Linked DNA regions of Schizosaccharomyces pombe. The protein of the gene in region 2 interacts with the protein of the main gene of each other region in a biochemical or structural test. Each region holds a gene or a part of one and is shown on either strand. Other genes may lie near its edges.

Region 1 (3,760 bases), on a different chromosome or scaffold from region 2:
GAAAGAGAAGATACAGAATCTGAATTTTGGATTCTTTTGTCTGTGGCACACGTTTTCCTTGATGCTTTTACTACGAAAATTCTCCGTATTGTTCGACCGATTCTACTATTCCCATTAGCAGGGAAATTTTTGGGAAGGTTTATTCCAGGGAATTTCACAAAGTTAGAGAAGAGCATTATTGGTGCCTTTGCTGCATTAGTTTTTAAGGACATTTTTGTCTATGGTTTCATTGCTTGGAGAAAGAGAAAACCCTGGAGCATTCGAATTCTCGACAATCCTCGTAGAGTTTCTGACTCATAAGCAAACAATGAAGTTGTCAAACTGTTAAGTTCCGGCAATATTTCTTTCACGCATTTACTTTTTAAAAATACTCATGAACTTAATTTAAGCCTTTTATTACGAGCAATATTCTAAAACCGTGTTATCGATTTATTCGAATCCAAAAATAAATATAAAGATGCTGATAGCATTAATAATTTTTATAACTTATAAAATTTCCAATCTGGAATTATTTTTCTTTTTTATGAAGCTTCCGTCTCCATCTCTTTATCTGTATCAGATGATTTTTTTGGCTGGGCGGCTGTCGACAGTATTTGGTCGTCCACCGTACTTTTTGATGGGGTTTCTGTGTTTAGGGAATGAAATGAGTCAGTTCTTCCTGATGAATTTTGATGTTGAGGGGTAGCTTGTGTCGAGACGGAAGCCAATGACGACGGTGTCCCAGGAGCTACGCTGGAAGCATGAGATCCGTTTTTTTGGTCGATTGGAAGGGCTTGTTTGGAAGGGTTTATCTTTTTGTATAACGAGTCGATTAGTGTCAACACTCCTGCATTGTTAGTGCTAAGGCTATAAAAAAATATATAATATACCTTTAACGTCTTCATAAGAAACTTGAGACTCTTCCATCCATACCGGAAGCCCATCAGTCGTAGTAGAGAGATTTATTTCGTTCTTTTCTAATGCAAATTGGAATGCTGCAGCAGCTATAGTTTTCGGAGAGTAAAGTAGACATGCGATACTTCTAGTGCTATCGTTAATGTATGTCCAAGCAACCTTAGTGACATTTTTATCATCAGCCACGAATTTTTTGATAAAACTTAGGACGTAAGGATATGGATGTTCAACCGTAAAGTCAAAGCATAAAGCTTCTAACAGTACTTCCTCTGTGTACAAGATAACATCTCTCCACCGCCAGTATTCTTTGGTTTGCTCGTCAACCAAAACATTGCTGTTTTTTTGAGCAACCTTTGCACAGTTAATTACAATATCGCGAAGTTTACGAACGGAATCCTCAACCTTGGTTGCCAAGAAAATGCAAGTAGCAGCAACTTCATAATAATGATAATTTTTGAGTGAGAATCGAAGATAAAATCGATGGAAATAGATGTTAGCAGTAGCAAGCGCAGTTTGAGGTCTGTTATTATTGTTAGTTTCATTAATTTACTGAACTGATACATCGTAATTAACGTACAGTTTTAATCTCAGCCCGACATTTATAATGAAATTGCATCCTTTAGATCTTTGAATTTCTTCTTGATCTAAAGGTATCCCATCTAATGCAGATGGAGTAAATACCAACTGATCTTTACTTATTATCCACTGAGAAGTGTTTTGAGAGCCCGGGGGTACAGATTTTATTACTTCACTCATGTGAAATTCATCGATTTTATATATGAGATTACCGTCGCCAAATTATTAAAAACAAACTATAATTGAGCAAGAATAAGCAAAATCAAAGAACAGTAAATCATTTAGTATATAATTAACATACCTCAACTAAAGAATGCGAAGAATGGAGGGTGGTTACTATCTTTCAGGGGGAAATCTACCACAACGATGCTTGTCCATTTACGTTGATTGAATATAGTGATTATTAGAATAATTCGTAAGTCAGTTTTAACGATTTTGACGGTCTCAACGATTGTTTAATTTTAAGTCTTTGTAAGATATTCAAAAAATCAACTGTATACTTATAAATCGTTCTGCTAATCTCTTATAAACAACTCTTTTTTAGGTTAAAGCCGATACCAAAGAGATGAAATGAACTTTTCCAAATGATTGATGTTACCTACTTCATCAACAATTGCCTAATTCTTGACAGTATATTGAATACGATGGATTAAAAGTGGTAATCATTTTGAAAGGGACCATTTATGCAATAATATCATCCTTTAATTGTAGTGAACATAAAATACTTAGTTACTATTTAGACTAGTACTTTTTTTAGAAGAGGACTTCGTTATCCATGAATTAAGAAGCTTGTTGCGCTTCAATAAGCTTATTCACTTTGGCTGTTCTTTTCCGTTTTATAAAGTGTTTCTTACACGAAATAACTACTTGTATGCATTCAATTTCTTGCTTATAAGTTTTTTGCTTGTCTTCACAATCGGTGGAACTTGAGCAAATTTTCAAGTACTTAAATAAGAATTGGCTGTTGAAGGTCAATTAATTAAGTGTTGGGTTTGCCTTGATTTCGATAAATACCATAAAACTTGTCTATATTATTTATTTTCTGTGTCAAATTTTAATGAGCCTTTCCTTCTCTATTTTTTTAATTACCAAGTCTATCATTTTCATTTAATTTTACAATGTCATCAGCGAAAGTAAGGTTCATACGAATATGCATGAGAACCTAAGCGTCAGTCACTAACCCCTTTGTTATAGTATGTAGTGGGCAGCAAACCAACGGAAAAGAGACCCAAGGATATAAAAAGCATTAAGTCTGTGCCGATATGTGAAAAACATAGGGCTAGTGTAGTAAAAGATATCTCTCGCAAGATCTCTCGAATTCAAAGTGGTACGTCCTAGATTGTTTTATTAGCAAATTTAATTAACTTGCTAAACTTGATTCCGCTTTTATCATTTCTGTGTATTCTAACCATGAATAGCAACGTTGCCTGAATATCAAATTCGAGATTTGAACGATGCAATTAATCGATTGATGCGTGAAAAACACGAATGGGAGGTACAAATTCGTGATCTGGGTGGGATTAATTATCTGTATAATAAAGCAAAGCTATTTGAGGATGAAGGAGAACAAATCAGTGATATAGACGATTATCGTTATTACGGAAGAGCTCGAGAGTTACCTGGCGTTAAGGAACTTTTTGAAGCTGATATGAGTTTTATACCGGAAAGACAGCGCAAACAGGAGATGCAGAAAAGAAGGTTAGACGCCTGGTACTTTGGTTACATACCGCCAGCACAAGAGAGTCTATTAGAAGATTTTGAGGCAAAGATTGAAGAACAACAACATAAACATCTTGAGAACCTTGGTGATGAAGTTGAACAAGATTGGAAACCTCTTGTCATTGAGCAAATACCAACTAGAGACGATGTTGAAGCCATTCTTTTAGAAAGGCGTAAAAATGCTTTGCTGAGCAGAATTTCATAGATTATGAAGTAGGACTAGGATAGGAGAATTAATTTTATATTTTAAGTCTGCTTTGACATCGTAAACTATGAAGGATTTTTTAAAGAGATAAATAATTGGGATCTTCACAAGCTTCGTATTCATTGATCAAGTCGGCAACGACGTCGCTGTCAAATACATTAGTAAATTAACTCAAAATATGAAATTATAAGACAAGATACTTACCGAGAAGAATCGAATTCGTTAAGATCATCTTCGAAAATAGCCTCCTTTTTATATTGCTCTAAAAAGGCATTTCGTTTCCGCAAACGATCATATTGATCTAGTGTTCTCTTGAATAACTACAAAGATTAGTATTAAATGTCTCAAAAAAAAATTTGCAGAAAC
Region 2 (3,760 bases):
AGGTGAATTTTGTGAACGGTGATTTTGAGGACATATCGGATATAAAGCTTGAGCAGTTGTCAGCAAAATTAAATGAACTTCATCAGATATACAGACTTAGGAAAGAAAAAAACATTGAAATTAAAGAGGAATTAAAAAAACTGCAGGATTCTTTGTCTATAAAACTTAGCATGCCCGCTGATGATTTGTCCAAAAACGGAATAAAGCATTTGATAATTTACAAGGAGAAGCTCAGATTTTCTTTAGAAAGCAGGAAGTCCCGGGTCGATGAAATTGTCAACGAAATGAAAAATATGTGTGGTAAAAACCCGACTTCTGAGTTACCGACCAACTATAGTGATAAAACCTTGACTTTGGTAAGAATTTGATATTTTTATTAAAATAATTATTTTCAAACTAACAATATAGTGGGAAAATGAACTTTCGTCCATGCGAAAAGTGTACTTTGTTAAGTATAAAACTGAATACGAGTTTTTACAAAAAAGGTACCTTTCACTGGCTCGCATAATGTTCGTTTCTAAAAAAGAAATGTTGTTTACATCTCAATTTAAAGAAATACCTAACGTTAATCGAGAATTAATTCAAAGTATGAAACAAGAAATTGGGAACCTAGAAGTTGATCTCCATCTTCAAGGGGAATTGAACAACATGATTAGGCGGTATCTTCTCTTAGAGTCTAGGGTTTATAAAGAATCTCAAAGAATGAAGGTATTGTCTGGATCAGCTTCGCAGCCTTTCACTTTAAAGCGCTTGCAAAAGGATTTTCAATTACTGAAAGCTAAATTAATATGCGCATTAAGGGAGTGGGAGGAGGATAACGAAAAGAAAATTTATGTCTTTGGAAAACCATTGTCTTCAAGATTATTAATGATACATTCTCCACCAATTTTGCAGAATCAAGAGAATATTTCCTCTAATGACAATAGCAAATCTTCACCAGAGTCATCGCCACCTGCGCGGAAAACCACAGGTAAGATCGAAAATAAAAAGTTAAGAAACATTGATGTCCAAAGCAAAAAAAGCATTCGTTTTCCTCTTAGGCTAGCCTCTCATGAAGAGCCGTTAATTGATAGAATGGTTAACCAAAGTCCTGATACTCGAAGTGTTTCGAAAAGTAAGAGATTAGTAAGGGAAACATCTAGTGGTTGCTTATTCAAGAATCATTCTAAAAGTAATACACTTTCCCCTAGGAGGAAAGGCTCTCGGCATGGTCCCAGAGAGCCGTGTTTGTCTCCCGATGCTTCATCTTCGTCGATTCCGGTCACTGATATAAAGGAGATACTTCCTTCGCAGCACGACACACCTCATAACTCTGTCAAGCTTACTGGAAGTTCGACGACTCCTGCTTCTGTGTCGCTTCGTCAAATGATAGAGCCATTGTTATCACGTACTCCTCCCAAAGGTGAATTTACTAATTCACTTGATGATACACCGACTCAGTCTAATGTGGAAAAGGTTGACAGGTTTTTGGAAAACCATGATTGGGAAACGTGTAGTGAATCTTCCTCTGCAAGTGAAGATCAAAGTTTATGTAAACAACTATCTTCTTTTTCACTTTCCAGTAGTGATATCTCAAAGAAGTTAAAAAACAATTTAAATGGGCTACACTTTTCGTCTGATGAAGGTTCTAAACTACCTACTTTTCTATAATTTGTCTCTCGTTACTCTACAATATTTTTTAATATACTTACTATTAATGTATGAATATAATGAAATAATTCGTAATTTTTTTAACTGAGCATTAAAATATTGTAGTATTAACATATTCAAAAGCAATTTTCTCCAATCTTATTTCATACTGTTTAATATTTTTTTATCTTATTCAAAAATAAACAAGATTTTTAATTTTAAGTGCTTTGACAGTATCTTTTCTTTAGTCTATGTTGTAGTGTACTGTACGCTATTTGCCAGTTGCCTTTTGCCTTTCACCAATTTTTGCACCGATAAAACCACATGGGTAAATCACAAAAAAAGACGGCCAAAGGCCGTTTGGATAAATGGTATAAGCTTGCCAAAGAACAAGGTATTTATTAATAGCTACAATGAACACTTTTTAACGTTTAGGGTATCGTTCTCGTGCTGCTTTTAAATTAGTGCAATTGAATCAGAAATATAGTTTCCTTGAAAAAGCTAAAGTCATCATTGATCTTTGTGCTGCGTAAGTTGTATAGTTATTATTCAAAATCCTTTTACACTGACCGTCAAAACAGTCCAGGTGGTTGGTTACAGGTTGCTTCTAAAACATGCAAACCTGGCTCATTAATCGTTGGTGTTGATCTTGCTCCTATTAAACCCATTCCTAATTGCCATACGTTTGTTGAGGATATTACAAGTGATAAATGCAGATCGCAATTGCGTGGATATTTGAAAACTTGGAAAGCTGATGTGTAAGTAATTGATATGCTGCAGGAAGCGGTTAAACGGGTGCAACTATTCTTGTTTCACTTGCAATCTTAGAAATTTGATTGAACTGATTAGAATATTTGTTGCCCATATTGGTTTTTGTCGAATTTTTATTAATGCATTGAGCAGTGTTCTTCATGATGGTGCACCAAATGTTGGTTCTGCATGGTTGCAGGACGCCTATGGACAAGCTCAGTTGGTGCTAATGTCAATGAAATTAGCATGTGAATTTTTGGTTGCTGGTGGTACATTTGTTACAAAAGTTTTTCGTTCAAGGGATTATAATAATCTTTTATGGGTATTCAAACAACTTTTTAATAAAGTTGAGGCTACTAAACCTCCATCTTCTCGTAACGTCTCTGCAGAAATTTTTGTCGTATGTCGTGGGTACAAAGCACCAAAAAAGTTAGATCCTCGCTTTACAGATCCTCGTACCGTTTTCGAAGAAGTCCAAGAGCCAGTTACAAACGTTGATGCAAAAGTGTTCCATCCTGAAAAAAGAAAACGTAGTCGTGAGGGTTACGCTGACGATGATTACACATTACACAAAACTGTCTTGGCATCGGAATTTGTTACCGCAAATGATCCCATTCAAATCCTTGGTACATCCGCTGAAATTGTATTCCCAAAAGATGATGAGGAATGTCAACGCTTATACAATTTAGACGTCACTACTGAAGAAATTCTTTTGTGTTGCTCAGATTTACAAGTATTAGGTAAAAAAGAATTCCGCGATATTTTGAGATGGCGACTGAAAATAAGAGATGAGATGGGTATAGGTAAAAAGGTAGAGGATGAGCAAAAAACAGTGGTTGAGGAGATTCCTGAAATGGATGAAGAAGAGAGACTGGATCAAGAATTACAAGATTTGAGTGAAGCCGAACGTGTTAAACTCAAACGTGAGCGTCGGAAAGCGAATCAGCGTAAACAGCGTGAAATTGTTCGTATGCAAATGGGAATGTTGGCCCCAATGGATATTGGCTTGGAACATGAAGCCATGGGCGAAGACAGTTTGTTTGGTCTAGCAACCGCTGAAAAGCATGGTTTAAAAGAATTGGAAAATGGAACGCTTCCCGTAACTGAATCTGTTGACGAAGAAGTTTCTACGGACAATGAAGTCGAATACGATAGTGACGATGAGCGCGATCGCTTAGAGGCTGACTTGGATTCAATGTATTCTGATTATACTAAACGCAAGGCTGAATCTGATGTGAAATATCGCGTTAAAAAAGCGCGTGGCGATCTTGATGATGAAGAATGGAACGGTATAGATAATGGCACCGAAAGCGATGATTCTCAGATTGCTGAGACGAACTTTGCTACTCCTGATAAAGACAGACTGACAACGTCTTTGTTA

What was found. The genes of interacting proteins can lie anywhere in the genome.
Region 1: of the proteins of spb1 (region 2) and pch1, one has a biochemical effect on the other in vitro, tested with the Schizosaccharomyces pombe proteins (one study listed by BioGRID).

Annotation. Positions count from the first base shown.
Region 1 is NC_003423.3:2,792,856-2,796,615, reverse strand, and holds the start of pch1 (P-TEFB-associated cyclin T Pch1), read right to left. Parts: upstream 1,796-3,760; 5' UTR 1,772-1,795; intron 1,707-1,771; 5' UTR 1,651-1,706; coding exon 1,472-1,650; intron 1,415-1,471; coding exon 870-1,414; exon of another isoform or gene 827-869; coding exon 522-826; 3' UTR 301-521; coding exon of another isoform or gene 1-300. Other genes in the region: SPOM_SPBC32F12.07C (MARCH family ubiquitin-protein ligase E3), read left to right, coding at 1-300; protein Cwf12, read left to right, coding at 2,589-2,603, 2,665-2,797, 2,889-3,394; gamma-tubulin Gtb1, read right to left, coding at 3,474-3,540, 3,599-3,714.
Region 2 is NC_003424.3:920,361-924,120, forward strand, and holds the start of spb1 (rRNA methyltransferase Spb1), read left to right. Parts: upstream 1-1,920; 5' UTR 1,921-1,953; coding exon 1,954-2,023; exon of another isoform or gene 2,024-2,064; coding exon 2,065-2,158; exon of another isoform or gene 2,159-2,210; coding exon 2,211-2,387; exon of another isoform or gene 2,388-2,532; coding exon 2,533-3,760. Other genes in the region: protein mcp1, read left to right, coding at 1-356, 409-1,650. UniProt on the Schizosaccharomyces pombe protein: Required for proper assembly of pre-ribosomal particles during the biogenesis of the 60S ribosomal subunit.